4 linked regions of the Ovis aries genome follow. The protein of the gene in region 4 purifies or fractionates together with the protein of the main gene of each other region. This does not show direct contact. Links are inferred from orthologs where the notes say so. Each region holds a gene or a part of one and is shown on either strand. Other genes may lie near its edges.

Region 1 (4,000 bases), on a different chromosome or scaffold from region 4:
CTGATATTGCAATATCAACTGTTGACAATGTTTCAGATACTTTCTATCCAGCCTCAAATCAGACCTGCAAGGTTGGTATTACTATCTTCATTTTTTAAATGAGGAAATGGAGGTTTAAAAGACCCACCCGAGACTGCACATCAGGTAAGGGTCAGAGACCAGATTGCATTGCAGGTGAATTAAGCCCACCCTCTTGCAATTAAAGCATATGACCTCCATAAAAGAGTAAGAAGAAAAGAATACAAAGCAGAGACAGGTAAGGCCTTACCAATAATTGCTTCAAGTGCTACTCAAAAATAATAGCATCATTAGTTACCAACAAATGTCTAGAAATATACCATTAAGCTTTTGGCATGACAAAATTTAAGATTTCCTCTCATCCATTTATATGCAAAGTGCTTTGGCATGTGGACACACACACTCACACTTGCAAATCCCTCTCAAAACACATGTATTGCAATTTACCTCCGTCTCATCTTTACATTCGTGTCTGGGTCACACCGTCCCTTTTTAGCTTTGACCCATGCTAACTTTTCAAGATTTTCTTTATTTCTTCCTCTTTCTTTCCCCTTGATCATGTTTGTCCTCTTCCTTACCTCACTTTTCTATCAGCTTCTCCTCTTCCCTTATTTCTTGTCTGCCTCATTACCTACACCCTTCTCTTACTTTGAGTGTTGTTGCGTCCAGCAGGTTCTCAGTAGATATCTGTTTTGAGCTCCATACTTTTCTCATACCTGCCCCACCACCACCCTTTGTCTTTGCCTTCCTCGTCATTCCTCCTCTACAGATGGCTTCCACCCTGCTCCCTCTCAATCGCCCACACCCCTTCCATTAAATTACCCTACTTCCTCACAAACTCCAGGGGTCATCTCATCCACCTCTCACCCCTTTTCCCGCCTTTTTCCCCCTAGGTTCCAAAGCGCGAAGACCTCATTGTCCTCCTCCCCCATCTTCTAACCAGTCCACAAGACAGCCTTGTTACCATGACGACAGGGCTACTCAAAGCTGAAGTCAAAGACCTGGTTGCCATGGCCACCGCTTCTCCGCCTCCGGCCCCGCCCGCGCGCCTCGCAGCGTCGGCGCCTGCGCAGTACGCAGCGTATTGGTTCCCGGCACCCTGGCGGACGGGGCGGGGCTTCAAGCGAGAGGGAGGGAAGGAGGCGAAAGGGTAAGAAAGGGAGTGGAGCTGGCGCCTACGGTGGCCGAAGAGGGACGCGCAGGGCTGGAGGCTGCAGGATGGTAGGCTCTGCGAAGAGGGAGGGGAGGGGGGACCGAGGGGCGTGGGCTGCACCTGCAGGGGTCCTTGGGGGCTGCCCTCTGTGTGAGCCGCTCTTTTCCCTCCTCCAGTTCTCAGAGGCCCTCACTTACCTGGGCGGGTGGGCGAGCCGGCCTCGGAAGGAAGAGCAGCTGGAAATCGCTTTCGGGAGAAGCGGCGGGGAGTGGGCGCATTTGTAGGGCCAGAGGGAGGTGACTAGGGGGCGGCGGGACCGTCCGGAGCCAGGGGGAGCGCACGGGTCGCGATCTCAGGGGTCCGGATCACTGCCGCAGGGAACTCGCGCGAGGAACGGGGTCTGGGGCCTGCTGGCTGACGGAGGCGGCAGGGGTCGCCTGTCTCCGAGACCCTCCGTCCACGTGCAGCCCAGAGTGGAGCGGCGGCAGGCGGGGAGGGCGGTGTGTGGGAGGGGATCGTTCGGGGTGCGAGGAATAGACGTCCTGCCTCGGTTTGTCGTCCTGCCCACCTGGAGGCGGGGATGAGGTGGGGGAAGCCAGGTGGGCTCGAGTTTTGCTCTCTGGGACCCAGGCTTTGGCTTCCCGGCTCCGGGGCTCTTGGCTCTCCGCCCCTCTACCCTATCCTCTTTCCGGAACGCAGGCCTTCCGTCTTCCTGCTCCCTGGCCCACCCTCCCATCCTAGGCTCCCTTGCACCACTCTTTTGCCCTCCGGCCACGCTAGCAGCGCTTCCCTTTCCCCGATAGCAGAAAATACAGTTCTCTTGAATTCCGATCTGTAGCCGTCTAGACTAGTAGTGTTCCACACACCCAGGACTCCAGCCCTGGTGGCATACACGGAGAGACGAGCTACAAGGGGAGGGAGATCACTCCAGGATGTGGCCTGGAGCCCCTACCCCCCTGGAAATGGGAAACTGGGGGTGCACGGGGTAGTGAGAGTGAGAGCTCTGCACGTCTCCCCGCTCCACCTCCTTGTGCTTGTTCCAGGAACATTCACTAGGCGAGCCGCCCAGAATGGCTGGGTCCAAACTGAAGAACTGAAAGGGAAATTGATCACCTGATATCTGGGGAGGTGTGGGCATGCTAGGGAGGCACCCTAAAAGGAAGAAAAAAGGAATACCTCTGGCTATATGCCTGGATGGCTGAGTAGAGTGGAGGGTGGTGGAATCTAGGGGGTCCTGGTGTCATGTTATGGACTTCCCTGGTAACTCAGACGGTAAAGTGTCTGTCTACAATGCAGGAAACCTGGGTTCGATCCCTGGGTCAGGAAGATTCCCTGGAGAAGGAAATGGCAACCCACTCCAGTACTCTTGCCTAGAAAATCCCATGGACGGAGGAGCCTGGTGTCCATAGGGTCGCAAAGAGTCAGACACGACTGAGCGACTTCACTTGGTATCATGTGCTAACATAAAGGATACCGCTGGGCATAGGAATGGAGGGCAGTATGTTGGGGACATTGGCTAGGGTGTATGGCTAGGATGGGGCAGAGGGCTGAAGTAGCTTCTTGGGGAAAGAAAATACCTGATTTTAGGATGGTGGTGGATAGAAAGCGGGAAAGAAAGCAAACTTCTCCTTGCCATCAACTTAGGGGCTGCTCGTCACTGTGCTAGCATTTTACCCACCTTTGGAAACCAGGTTTAGGAAACAGTAAGTCAGGACATAATAATAATGACATCCAAGGTGTTATAGTGCTTACTTCGTGCCAGGCGCGATTTCCTATGTCGGTTCCACCTAACAGCTCTGTAAGGTAGGTACTTTTATTATTTCCACCTGACACACAGGGGAACTGAAGCCCAGAGAAATGAAGTAACGCCCAGGGCAAATTTCTCAACTAGTAGAGCCAGGATTCGAACCCACAGGACAGACTCAGAAGCGCTGACACCCCCTCCAAGGAAGGTGCTTGCTAATGGAAATACCCAGTTGACCAGAAGGGCTGATGTTTTGAAGAAAGTAGGGTCTGTGAGGAGAAAAGAGTTGAATGGGAGGAGTTTGGGACTGTGTGGTTTTGGAGGAAACAAGCTCAGAGAATCAAAGCTCTAAACCTCGGCTCTGACTCCTCCTTCCTCTCCCTACCCCCCACCCCCAGATGCGATTCATGCTGCTGTTCAGCCGGCAGGGGAAGCTGCGGCTGCAAAAATGGTACCTGGCCACCTCAGACAAGGAGCGGAAGAAGATGGTTCGGGAGCTTATGCAGGTGGTTCTGGCTCGCAAGCCCAAGATGTGCAGCTTCCTGGAGTGGAGGGACCTCAAAGTTGTCTACAAGAGGTGACTCCTCACCTACTTTCAGACCTGCCTGGATCCTGCCTGATTGGGGTCTGGAATGGGTTCACCTGGCTGGGAAATAGGCAGTCCCTTAGTCTGGCAGAGGTTTCCTGGTGGCTCAGACGGTAAAGAATCTGCCTGCAATGCAGGAGACCTGGGTTCTATCCCTAGGTTGGGGAGATCCGCGGGAGAAGGGAATACTTATCCGCCCCAGTATTCTTTCCTGGAGAATCCCATGGAAAGAGGAGCCTGGCAAGCTACAGTCCAAAGAGTGGCTAACACTAACTAACTAGGTCTGGGAGAGCTGAGAGCTAAGGACATCTGGAAGGCAGTGATGAACTCCAGCCAGCCTTTACTTTCCAAATTCACCTTGAAGAGAGACTTGTTCCTTCTTGGTTTTGCTCAAGCCTGGTACCTACTTCACGCACCTACCTCTGTCCCAAAGGCCCGATCTTACTGATTGCACACATCCATTGCAGCCTCACTGAACAGTTGTAGACCCTGGGCCACT
Region 2 (4,269 bases), on a different chromosome or scaffold from region 4:
ACTCTTTGTGACCCCATGGACTGCAGCACACCAGGTTTCTCTGTCCATCACCAACTCTTGGAGCTGGCTCAAACTCATGTCTATTAAGTTGGTGAGGCCATCCAACCATCTCATCTAGAGGGCAGACAGATGTAAAGAGTCATTAGGGTGATGATGACATCATAAGATAGAGAAGAAATGTTCAGATAAGTATGTAAATCTGACTTGGGGAGGTCAGGAGATACTTTGAAAGGAGGTGGTACTTCGGTGGTGTCTTGAGAGAGAGTAGGAGGAGTTTGCCAGGGGGACTAAGAAGGGAGTTAGGAGTGCTGCAGCCCCTGAGGAGGCCCCAGTGTTCTTTCACTGAACTGGGGTCTAAGTGTGGCAGGCAGCCAGAGAGCCTGGAGAGTATTTATTTCCCTTCCTACCTAGATTTTGACTTAAGATAGTCTTCTCTTTTGATATCACCCCCTAATGTTGTTGTTTAGTAGCTCAGTCACGTCTAACTCTGCGACCTCATGGACTGCAGCATGCCAGGCTTCCCTATCCATCACCATCTCTTGGAGTTTGCTCAGACTCATGTCCATTGAGTCAGTGATGCCATTCAACCAAATCTTCTCTGTCCTCCCCTTCTCCTCTTGCCTTCAATCTTTCCCAGCATCAGGGTCTTTTCTAATGAGTGGGTTCTTTATATCAGGGGGCCAAAGTATTGGAGTTTAGCTTCAGCATCTGTCCTTCCAATAAATATTCAGGGTTGATTTCCTTTAGGATTGACTGGTTTGATCTCCTTGGGATCCAAGGGACTCTCAAGAGTCTTCTCCAACACCACAGTTTGAAAGTATCAATTCTTCAGGTGCTCACCCTAATAGCAGATGGTTAAATGAAAAGTTTTGGAGTCATACTTGGATTCTAACTCACCAGCTATCTGATCAGTTGTAGGCCCTTACATATGACACTTATTTGTGTTTCAGTTTCATTTGTACAACTTATTTATGTCTCAGTTCCGTCATTTACACAATTTAAAAATAAAAGCATCCAACATAGATTCTGGCATATAAAGAGTACCGTTATTATTTCCTATCATTATCTCATTTAATCCTCGCAAGCAACTTGGACTCTGGATATAGTTCTTCCCATTTTTCAGAAGCATAGGCTTAGCATGGGTAGGTGATCCGTTAAAGTTTTCAGGACAACCTGGAGTTGCCTCTGCTCCACAGCCCGTCCGCCTTAATTACTTGTCCGCGCCGGGTTTTCTCAGGCGGCCCCGGGGCAGGCTCCGGTCCAGCAGCAAAAACTCCGGCGCCAGGATTTGGGTGTCTCCGAGGCCTGTGCCGGGCGGGCGGGGCCAGGCGAGGCGGGGTGGACGAGAGGAGGGAAGTTGTCGAAGTTAGGGGAGACGCCCGCCAGCCGGCCCGGGCCTCGCCTCCGGCCGCTCCCTCCGCCTCCTCCCCGCCCCGAGCCCCTGTCCGCCCGTCCTTCCTTCCCCTCCCGTGCATGATGGAAACACCATGGCTGCGGCGGCCCAGCTCTCCCTGACACAGGTAACGCCGCCCGCCGGTCCGCCGGGCTCGGCCGGCCGGTGTCCCCGGCCCCCTCCCCCACCGCCCTACGGTTCACCGACCCGAGCAGTTTCTCTCCGCCCCGGGCGGGGCGGCCGATACTGAGAGCGCGCGCGCGCGCCTGTGAATGTGAGTGTGAGTGTGACTGCGGGAGGACGCCATCCTGAGCCGGTACCTCCGCCACTCGCGCCCCGGCCCCGCCCCACGCGGCGCCCCCTCCTCCAGACCCCTCCGTGCCCCTGTCCCGCCGGATGGGAGCCCGACCTTCTCCTGTCCGCCTTCACCCACCCAGGAAGTTTCCTCCTTCCAGGCCAGACGCACCCCAGGTGAGCTCCTGTTGAGCTCGCGCGGTTCAGTCTCACCGCCGGGTCTGCCCTCGCCCCGCGCGAGGCTCACCCTCGGGACAGGCAGCGTCACCTTCCCGAGCCAGGCGCTCAGGGCCCCCTCCCAGCCAGGCTTTTCCCTCGCTAAACCGGCCTTTTCCCACTGGAGTCCGACGAAAGCCCTCCCTTTCCCAGCAGTTTCCTCCAGTCAGCCTGTCTTCCAAATAAGTCTCATCCTCCCCGAGCGCGTTCTTACCCCGCTTACCCTGGCTTCAGCCTCTTCTGCTGATCAGGTTTCCTGCTGGGTGAGATCCCCCGATTCAGCCTTTCCCTCCTCAGTTCTGCTACCACTCCTACCGGGTAGGCTCTCTATCGCTGTCCATGGGGATAGCAGGGAAACATCCTTTCACAGGTGTGATGGTTCCGCCCGTCTTGGTGCTGGGAAGGACCTAAGAGATCACTCGTCCTGGGGGAACCTTCACCAAAACCTGTGTGCTCTGTTCTGCCTTGCCTTTCTGCTTCCTTCAGAGTCAGTCCTCGTGCTTCCCAGAAAACCGCTCAGCATCAATCACTCTGGGAACCTCGTTCCTCCCTTTGCGTTGGGAAAACCAATTACAGTCTTCCGGTGATGTCCTGGATGGAGAGAGGTTGTACGCCTGTCAGTCCCTTGGCGCTTCTCTGACCACATCTCACCCTAACCTCACCTTCTCAGCCCGTTCTCTCCAGAACCGGTGGTCACGGACTTTCCTGTTGGGGCCCACGCCAGCCTGCCTGCCTGCCCTGTAGTATCTCTCTGCCACCTTGTATTGGCCTGGATATCTCAGGGTTTCTGAGGCAAAACATTGGGATAGGTTATACGTTTGGGCCAGAAAGTTTTCTGTTTGAGGAATAAGAGACTTTGGGGGTGTTTTGCCTAGCATTCTAGGATAAACTGAGTGAAAAATGTTTCCCTCAGTAACCAGGAATCACGTATAAACAATGTGCCTTAGGTAAAATAAGTAACTTCAGCTTGTAGGAATTTTCAGCTTCGTAAGTGCGAGGTCTGTTATTTTCCAGTTTATTTAGTCTTGCTTATCCTATTTTGACAAGCAGATAAATGGGGAAAAAGACTTGGAATGTGGTGATTTAGTCTTGGTAGTGAATCTCTTTGGAAGGGTCCTCCTGAAACTCAAACTTGAGGAATGGCAACATTGACTTATGGGTGTTCACTCTCTAATAGTGTGGTTAGTGATATGCATTAAACAAGATCCTGTTGGCAAGCTGTTGCTCGTCCGCTCTGCTGGCCAATTCCAGCGAGAGTTCTCCCCTCCTGAAGATTTTGTTCTTCTGAGAACTAATACAGATTTGCTTCTTAGTTGTGTGTGTACTTTATTTTCTTCCTGGGTAAGGTTATGTTTTTAGTTTCTATTTACTGTCATTCATCTCTGAATATTTTCTTCCGGCTCTGTCAGTTTTATAGACAGTTAAACAATTTAAATGTGTTCTTGTGGTTATATATTTAAATATTAACATGTACACAGAGTAAATACTGAATCAGGAGTATTATCGTTCAGTGTTTCACATATGAGAGAACAAACATCGATGGTTCATTTATATTGAATATCCAGATAAGTCAAGTTAGAACATTTTCATTTTAAGACGTTTTTGTTTAGTCGCTAAGTTGTGTCCGACTGTTGCAACCCCGTGGACTGTTTGTTAGCTGGCCAGACTACTCTGTCCATGGGATTTCCCAGGCAAGAATAATGGAGCGGGTTGCCATTTCCTTCTCTAGAGGATCCTCCCCACCCAGGGATCAAACCTGCATCTCCTGCAGTGACAGGCCGGTTCTTTATCGCTGAGCCACCAGGGAAGCCATTTAAGACATTAGGAAGCAATAAGATATATTGTAAAGGCACTGGAAAGAGAATATTCCCAAGTGTTTAAATACCTAATGTGCCTGCTTGTTATTTTAAAACTTGGCTGATTTGTGTTTTTTAATTGAATTTTTAACTGCTTGAGGCAAATAAGCTGAGATAACAGTGCGACTTGGTTTCACATTCATTATTGATCTGTTTATGTCACCATCACCCCCTCACAACACACTCAGACATAGGCATACTCAAGTGAGATCCTACATGGCAGGGACATCTTTCATCTCTCTCCCTCAGCGCATATCTGGAAGAAAGTTATTAATAATATTTGTCTTGTGAATGACTGAAAATTCTGAAGAACTCTGGGACAGTTACAAAGATTAAACAGATGCTGAAGTTAGTTTCTGCCCCTGGTTATTAAATGATAACAGTTTTGCAGTAGGTTGATTTATTCAGCCAGTATTTGTTAAGTACCTATTATGTGCGCTGCTCTATGCTGGAATTGTCTTGAGTAGAATTTTTGGCCTCTATCAATTGAGCAAAACTGACAGTTGGGAA
Region 3 (4,229 bases), on a different chromosome or scaffold from region 4:
TGCCAGGGACTACTGCACTGTAACAGACTGTGTCCCTGACCTCAGGAGAGATCACAGTCCAGAAAGAAATGGAGACGTGATCATTTGGCCACTGCAGGGGGAGTGGTCATGGGAGGGACGCCCAGGCCAGTGGGATCACAGAGCAACACCCATAACCCAGGCCCCCACCCCCACCTGGGCCAGCAAGTCATTCATGGTCTCACTGCTCTCCTCGTGGTTCCGGCCCAGAATCCGAAGCAGACGAAGTATCTGGACCTGAAATTGGGTTAAATAAAAGTTGGGGGAAAGGGGTTGAGGAGAGAAATCCAACGTTGAGAGCACTGTGAGGGGTCTGGCTGGCTCCCAATAGCCTCCTTGCAGTCCCCCCTCCCAGCCTCCTCTGTCCCCTTGGGCCCTGGGAGGGTTCAGAGGTGAGTGAGGCCAGGAGATCTGGGGACAGTCTTTTGAAAAAAAAAAAAAAAAATGTTACCAAGTTGGATTTTCTACTTTTCAGGCACTCCCCATCCCCACACTGGACCTGGGATGACCTGGTGCCTGCCACCCTCCTGCCCAAGTTACTGATGAACCAAAGTATTGTCTGGGAGGGGACCCCTGGCCATGGGATGCCTAAGCTTTTTGTTCCAGGGATACAGCAGGGAAGGATCAGCCCACCTGCAGGAATGGGTCGCTGACTCCAGACACGCTGTGTTCTGTGGAGCATCCTGTCATCACCAGAGTCCGGAGGGTGTGCACCAGCTGGGGTACCACCTGGAGGGAGGGCAGAGCCTGACCTGGGCATTCTTCCTAATCCTCTCTCCCTTCAGCTCCCTCCAACCCCACTGCCCTTCTCCTCCTGGCCCGGGGCCCACCCCTTCACCAGCCCACCTTTCGAAAGTGCTGGAGGGCTGCAGGGCTTCGTTCGCAGAGCTCGGTGATCAGCGTGACAGTGCCCAGCAGGATGCCTGGGTCAGGGTGAGGGAGCCAATGGTGGACAGGGCACAGGGGAGTCTACTGTGTGCGTGTTTGCATGCACGTGCTGCCCTTCACCTGGGAGCTACTGTTCCTGTCCTTGGGCTCCCTTTCCCACAGCCAGAGCTGAGGCAGTGGACGAGGAGCCCCGTGGCCTTACCATGGTGGCGTTCATGAAGCAGCTGGGCACAGGGTGGGAGGAAGATGTCAGAGAGTTCAGGGACCTTCCGGATCATGTGTACTGCAGTCAGAACAGCCTGCAGAGGTCACAGGGCTCAGAGAGGGCGAGGGTCTGCCAGGATGGAATCCCCCACCTCTATCATGTGGCAGACAGGACAGTTTGTGCAGGAGCAAGAGCCTAGAACCTGCTGTCTCACCTTCTTGCGCACATAGGGGCTGGGCTGCAGGAGCAGCTTCTCCACCTCTGGGGCCAAGTCCCGGCACATCTCAGCAGAGCCCATGGCACTCAGTGTGCACAAGGCTAGGCCTTGGACAGCCTCAATTCCCTGGCTCAGGTCACTGCAGAGTTTGGGGAGGACAGTCAGTCAAGCCTCTGAGAAGTCCAGTCCTTCAGTACCTACAGCAGGCAACCCCCTGGGATTTCCCAGTTCCCCACTCTCCCATCTCCCTGATTCCAAGTGCTTCCCAGAACCCTCTCACTTCTTGATGCTGTTGGTAATGAGCAGGTGGGCATCCTGCCTCTCATCCAGTAGAAGCATGGCCCCCAGGTAGCCCACCCTCTTGTCTGTGAACCTGGGGGAGGCGATCAGTTTCAGGCACTCCATCTACAGGGAAGGGGGCAGACCAGGAAGGGGTAGGGGTGAAACCGGAGGCACTAGCGTGGCTTTTGGTTCTCCTTTACACCAGATTAACCTGTGGGGGCAGCATACCCCAGGACCGCCCCGTTCAACATGAACAGAGGTTTAGGAGATTCAGTTAGTTTCAAGGAAACGGAAGAATGGGAGGAGAAAGGAAGGGCCTTGAATGGCGCTGGCCAGAGAATGAGGGGTTCGGTCCATCTGATGACCAGTTGGGGTGGTAAAGGGCAAGGAGATCTGCGGTACACCCTGTGAGGGCCCAGAAACTCCGCAGAATAAAGAAATCGAGAAACAAGTAAGTGAGGGGGTGGTGTTCGCTACCGTGCCCCACTAGCTTCTCTCATCAAACTCGGACGGGAGGCGTCCACGCCCAGTACCTGTCCAAAGTGGGCGGGGTAGCCTAACATGTGGACGTAGAGCAGTTTGGCCAGCTGGCGGTGGCTGTGCAGAGGGTCCCCATCGCGGAAGGAGGCCCGGATGTGGGCGCACTCTTTCTGGATCACCTCCCGCTCCTGGGCCTGGGTCTTGGCCTCACGAATCTCCTGGATTAGATCCTGAAGCTTCAGCGAGGACGCCACCATCCTGGCGGGCAGAGCCCGGAAACGGAGAGGGCCTTAACCCTCTGGCAGTAAGCATCCGGCCTTTTCTGCACAGGCTTGCAATTAACCAAATTCCCGAGGGCCCGGGTCCCAAGACACGCTAAAACTGATCCCTGTCCCCAAATGCCGCCCGAGACCTCCATTACGCATGCGTCCTCGCCCCACCCCGCACCCGTCGCTACCGAGCCTGCGCTGGAACCCCGCCTATTTCCCCCCCAACGGCGGGTCTCCACCTGGCTTCCCATCCCTAGCTCAGTTATTCCCTTCCTTCTAGAGCCCGGCGCTGCTTCTTTCGCAGAGACCCCCGTCCCCTTCTCAGGCGGTGTCAGCTTCCCCACACCAGGACGCCAGCCTCACCTGGCTTCAGTCTCAACTCCGCTCCTCTCCCCCCAGCGCTTCCTGGTCCTAGCCCCGAGGAAGGTTGGGGCTTGGTCTGATCCTTCTCTCTCCCCGCCCCTATCGCGGGACCCCGCCCCTCCTGGGCCGCCCTGCAGACTGCAGAGCAATCTTGAATCCTCTGACCTTAGGCCTTTCTGATTTGGAGTATAAGGGAAGGATCTTTTTAACTACTTCGGGGCGGCGAGACTGTCTAACAGGCCTGGGACTTCGCAAGAGGGCTCGTTCACTGGAGAGCTTCTGAGAGTTTGGGTTTGAATCCATCGCACCCAAAGGAGAGGACAATTCCCCCCCCTTTTTTTGAACTTTTTTATTAATATATTTTTTTTTTGGTTAAATTTCTTTGTATTTTTTTTTTCCTGCAAGACTTGGTGTTGGCGGCACTGTTGTTTTAACGTCAATCCCAAATTCCATGAAATAGAAATCAGAAGTAAAGTTTGAGAGAGGAAGAGGGAGGGAGGCAGGCCAGGGAGTAAACAGAGTTTGACTAGAAAAAAAAGAAGAGTTTGTGTGTGGTGGGCATTCCCAGGCAAGGCCATTCCTTGAGGGAGGGGGTTGGCAGGCAGCTTGCCTCTGCCTCATGCAGGGGAGGGAGGAAAGATCCCCTGGGGACCCTCAAGCCCCCTCTTCCTAGGGCTTCCTGTCCCCAGGGGAAACGCTAGTACCAGGGATCAGCCACAACCTCCAACAGGGCTCTCTACCCACCTCTCACCCCGGTTTGACTCTCACCTCTCTGCTCTCCCTGGAAAGTGTGTGAGATTGATCCCCTCCTTTGTGTTGTTTTTCCAGTTCACAAGATTCTGATATGATGGGGGAAGGGATCTAACCCACTTAGAGACTACTGACCAGCTTCTCCTGCCCTGTGAGTTCCTGTTTTCTTGTGTGGTTCATTTTCCAGAACTGCCTCCCCCCGCCACTACTGCCAGAGTTGGGGAGTGGGGTCCTTGCTCAGGTGCCCCTAACCCTCTGCAGTAGAAATGTCTTCTTCAGGTCCCTTAGGAATTTAATCAAAGGCCACACGTGAGTCCAGACCAACCAAATAAACTTTTAGGGGGAGAGAGAAAGGTGGGAGAGGTCAGCAGGTGGGCTTGGCTGCATGGGACTTTATCTTTCCTTTACGCATTGCTCTTGACATGGCATGCCATCCTAGGGGGTTGGGTGAGGGGCTGGCTGTTGGGGAAAGAAAGAGGGAGAAGATGCTCAGGAGCTGTTCTACTTTTCATTTCTCTCATCTCCTTCAGCGAAGGATGGAGTTTGGTTAGAACCTAGCTCAGTACTTGGAGGTGAGATAGGCTCCTCCGAGGTCAGAGATGGAGGCTGCATCCCTTCCAGATCTGTCACCAGGCCTCAGAGGGGCACCAGGCTCCTTGGGTCGGGGAGTCCTAGCTGCACGGCCAGTGCCCTGCCCAGTCGACAGTCTTCTCCAGTATCGAGTGTACCCCTTCCCCACGTTCTTCCTTTCCACTCG
Region 4 (3,500 bases):
TGGAGAGCCTTCTCCCCGGCTGCTGCCAGGCCCCGGGTCCCCAGGAGCCTGCCTGCCCTGTGTCAGCACCTGCTCCCCACCATCCCCGCGGGGGCTTCTCTCTCCCCAGCTTTGGCCTGGCCCCCGCCGCCCCACTCCAGGTCCACGCGCCGCTCAGCCCCACCCAGACCGTGGAGATCTCCCTGCCTCTCAGCACGGCGGGCTCTGTCATGAAGACAGAGCCGCTGAACAGCCTGCAGGTGCGTCCCGGGGAGGACCAGGCACCCCAGTCCTTGCCCACGTGTCGCGGGAGGACTGGGGAAGCCCTCGGGGCCTGGCTGGCTCTGTCACAGGGCTGTGTCTGTGGAGTCTTGTTCTTAGGCACAGAAGGGTGGGGATGGAAGACCGGGGGCCAGCTAGGGGATGGACATAGCTTCTGGGGAAGCGGGAACCTGCTTAGCTGTGCTCACAGGCGCAGAGGCTTCCTGGGGCCTCAGTGGGCATCAGGCAAAAGGGACGACCTGGGGCCCCCCTTGTTTCCAGGTGGCCGTAAAGAACAACATAGACGTCTTCTACTTCAGCACCTTGTACCCGCTTCATATCCTCTTTGTGGAGGACGGGAAGATGGGTGAGTCCTGAGGGCGCCCTGGGGTCCCTGGAGCGGATGCGTGGAGCCTGTGTCATTGGCTCCCCTGGAGAGCCTGGAGAGAGGGTCACACTTTCCCAGGGCCTGAGGGTCTTGCCTGGCCAGCTCTGCTCTCAGCCTGACCTGCCGCCTCTAGATAGTTATCCCACAGGCCCCCGGAGGCAGGGGCCCTAGGTCATGCGTCACACCTGATGCCCACCCCTGGGCCCCAGCAGGAACCTTCGGGAAGGCACGTCCCGTGCCCAGAGGGCGTAGGCCCCCCTCAGCTGTCACCACAGGAGCCCGTGACGTCACTGGGACCGACGAACGGGCTGCTCGGTGCCAGGGCCGGAGGCCGGCTGTGGGCAGGAGCGGGGAGGGCACAAAGGCCCAGAGGCGGGAGCAGCGCAGGCGGCCCCCACGGAACACAGGCTCGGGGTTTGCCGAGGGAAGCAGGAGGGGCCCTGGCGGAGCCGCCCTGGTCTCGGGTGCAGGGCCTAACCGCCCGCTTCCCGACGGGGGTGCTGGGTGGGGTCCCGCCTGTGCCCCTGCAGACCGGCAGGTGTTCCTGGCCACGTGGAAGGACATTCCCAACGAGAACGAGGCCCAGTTCCAGATCAGAGACTGCCCCCTCAACGCAGGTAGGGCTCCCGAGCCCTGTGCCTGTCCATGCTGCCCTGTGCCCTGCCCCCAGCCCTGAGCGCCAGACCCTCCATCTCTGACTTTGTGACCCCCAGAGGCCGTGAGCAGCCGGCTGCAGAGCAGCAGCATCTTCACTGTGGCCAGGAGGAACGTGGAGGGCCAGGACATGCTCTACCAGTCTCTCAAGCTGACCAACGGCATCTGGGTGCTGGCCGAGCTGCGCATCCAGCCCGGCAACCCCAGCTTCACGGTGAGGCGCCCGCTCCCACCTAGAGCCCTGCGGCCTCTGCCTTCCTGCCCGCATGCCGCCCAGGCTGGGGTCGGCCCTGGCAGGGTGGGGTGGGGCATCCAGTCAGGCTGAGCCTGGTGTGAAGAAGCACCAGGACTCTGATCGTAGAAAGCTTCAGCTCAGTCCCATCAAGTGTCCCAGATAAGGCACCAAGTCAGGTCTCCGAACAGTGAAGTGGACTAGAATCGGGCCCTGTGAGGCCCATCTGGTACTGGGAAGGGGCTCCGCTGGACTCAGGGAGCCCTGGCCCCTGGGCTCCCCACTCCCCGAGAAAGGACAAGGCTTCCCAGAGGCTGCGCCGCTGTCCCGGCCCCCGAGAGCCCAGGCTTGGCTTCTCCCCGCACCCGAGCGGACAGGCATGACCGCCCGACGCTGCTCTCCGGCCCCTCGGCGGCATGGGCGCCGCGGCTGGTGGTGGTAATTTCTGTCTCCCTGTGTCTGGTCGCTGCATGTCCACCTCCCTGCCGGTGCCGGCGGTGCAGGACCTGGAGGTTAGCGGACTGCTTTTCTCTTCCTCTTCCCCCATCCTCCCAGGCACGCCTGGCACAACCCACCTCCTGGCCTGGCCTCGCCCCCCTGCTCCCCAAAGCCAGGCAGACGCATGCAGGCTGCAGGCCAGAGGACAGACCGCCCCTGCTGCCACACCCTGTGCTCTCCAGCCTGGCACCACACTCCCCACAGGCCTTGTGCGCAGAGCCCTCGGAGGAGACTGGGGCCCCTCTGAGCAGCAGCGTTGGCAGGAGGGGCGGGCGAGCCTGTCTCTGCTCCTGGGCTTGCCAGCTCTCCTCGCGGGTAGAGCTGAGCCAGATTTGACACAACTGCTTCCTGTGCAAGAAACTAGAAAGATACCCCCCCAGGGCCCCCACAGCTTCCCTCCTGGTCCCCAGAACGTCCTCAGGGACCCCCACTCTCCACGGGCTCTGACTCATGCTGCAGCGGCTCTGGGGGCCGGGACAGCAGGTCTGTGGGCTGCAGTCTGTTTGGTCCCCGCCCGGCTGGCTGCGGGGCCGCCCCCTCGCCGGCACCGCACAGCTGCTCCAGCCGCTGCTGCCGCCCCCCCAGGTCCCACGTGCGCCCCACCCTCTGCCATCTGCTCTCCGCCCCCAGCCTGGAGAGGAGCCCCGGGAATAAGGGGTCCCTGCCTCCCACCCTTGTCCCCCTACAGCTGTCCCTGAAGTGCCGAGCTCCGGAGGTGTCCCAGCACGTGTACCAGGCCTACGAGACCATCCTGAAGAACTGAGGCCGTCCAGCACCCACCCCAGCTTCCTCAGAGCCCCCTGCGAGGTGGCAGCACCTCCCTCGCGAGGGGCCAGCGAGGCTCCTGGCACCCCCCAGCTTCCCAGGCCTTGGGGTGCTCCTGTGCCCAGGACTCTCCTGTTTCCATCGTGCTGACGTTCGGGGTCAGGTGAGGAGGGCACCAGAGGAGCCAGAGTGGCAGCAGGGCTGCACGGAGCGGCCAGGGCTCCTCTCCGGCTCTTCCTGGCACCGGAGGGCGAGCCCGCAGTGCCTCCTTAGGCTCCCAGCCCGGGGTCCCTCTGCCCCGTCTCCCTTGGCTGGTGGCGAGGCCCTGCCAACTGCCCCCTCCTGGGACAGGCCCTGGCAGGCATCCTGGTGTGCGTGGAGAGTCCCCTCGGTGCCAGGAGAGCTGCTCTGTCAGGGCCGGGGCTCCCGGGGCTTGCCCGCCCCCCCCAGGCGCTGAGCCGCTCAGGGAAGACCAGGCAGTAGCTCCCAAGCCCCTTGCTGCTCCAGCCCCCCGGCAGATGTCCATCCCGCCCCCTGCCTGCGAGGACAGTCACTGCCTGTGATACATTCCTGGTGTGCCCGGGGCTTCTGGAGTGAACGGGGCTGAGGGGTGGGGTGCCTGGGCGAGCGGGGTGCTTCCTCTCTGGGGTTCTTAGCTGCCCCCTCCTGGCCTCCCAAGGTCAGTGTGTCTCACGGAGCATTAGGTTTTCCTGTTACTGCTGT

The links.
Region 1: the proteins of AP1B1 (region 4) and AP1S1 fractionate together in Homo sapiens (co-fractionation; 6 studies listed by BioGRID and IntAct, with this or other methods). This does not show direct contact. The link is inferred for Ovis aries from reciprocal best matches to the Homo sapiens genes AP1B1 and AP1S1.
Region 2: the proteins of AP1B1 (region 4) and EPS15 purify together in Homo sapiens (affinity purification with mass spectrometry; 3 studies listed by BioGRID and IntAct, with this or other methods). This does not show direct contact. The link is inferred for Ovis aries from reciprocal best matches to the Homo sapiens genes AP1B1 and EPS15.
Region 3: the proteins of AP1B1 (region 4) and AP1G2 fractionate together in Homo sapiens (co-fractionation; 3 studies listed by BioGRID and IntAct, with this or other methods). This does not show direct contact. The link is inferred for Ovis aries from reciprocal best matches to the Homo sapiens genes AP1B1 and AP1G2.

What each region holds. Positions count from the first base shown.
Region 1 is NC_056077.1:36,006,079-36,010,078, reverse strand, and holds the start of AP1S1 (AP-1 complex subunit sigma-1A), read left to right. Parts: upstream 1-1,200; 5' UTR 1,201-1,236; coding exon 1,237-1,239; intron 1,240-1,368; exon of another isoform or gene 1,369-1,837; intron 1,838-3,313; coding exon 3,314-3,492; intron 3,493-4,000. UniProt on the Homo sapiens protein: Subunit of clathrin-associated adaptor protein complex 1 that plays a role in protein sorting in the late-Golgi/trans-Golgi network (TGN) and/or endosomes.
Region 2 is NC_056054.1:25,936,446-25,940,714, reverse strand, and holds the start of EPS15 (epidermal growth factor receptor substrate 15), read left to right. Parts: upstream 1-1,469; 5' UTR 1,470-1,487; coding exon of another isoform or gene 1,488-1,520; 5' UTR 1,521-1,789; coding exon 1,790-1,864; intron 1,865-2,126; exon of another isoform or gene 2,127-2,409; intron 2,410-4,269. UniProt on the Homo sapiens protein: Involved in cell growth regulation. May be involved in the regulation of mitogenic signals and control of cell proliferation. Involved in the internalization of ligand-inducible receptors of the receptor tyrosine kinase (RTK) type, in particular EGFR.
Region 3 is NC_056060.1:21,191,397-21,195,625, reverse strand, and holds the start of AP1G2 (AP-1 complex subunit gamma-like 2), read right to left. Parts: upstream 2,801-4,229; 5' UTR 2,723-2,800; intron 2,380-2,722; 5' UTR 2,348-2,379; coding exon 2,144-2,347; intron 1,734-2,143; coding exon 1,609-1,733; exon of another isoform or gene 1,468-1,608; coding exon 1,326-1,467; intron 1,206-1,325; coding exon 1,109-1,205; intron 942-1,108; coding exon 865-941; intron 748-864; coding exon 652-747; intron 256-651; coding exon 175-255; intron 1-174.
Region 4 is NC_056070.1:68,610,691-68,614,190, reverse strand, and holds part of AP1B1 (AP-1 complex subunit beta-1), read left to right. Parts: intron 1-109; coding exon 110-239; intron 240-522; coding exon 523-607; intron 608-1,158; coding exon 1,159-1,245; intron 1,246-1,341; coding exon 1,342-1,496; intron 1,497-2,700; coding exon 2,701-2,775; 3' UTR 2,776-3,500. UniProt on the Homo sapiens protein: Subunit of clathrin-associated adaptor protein complex 1 that plays a role in protein sorting in the late-Golgi/trans-Golgi network (TGN) and/or endosomes.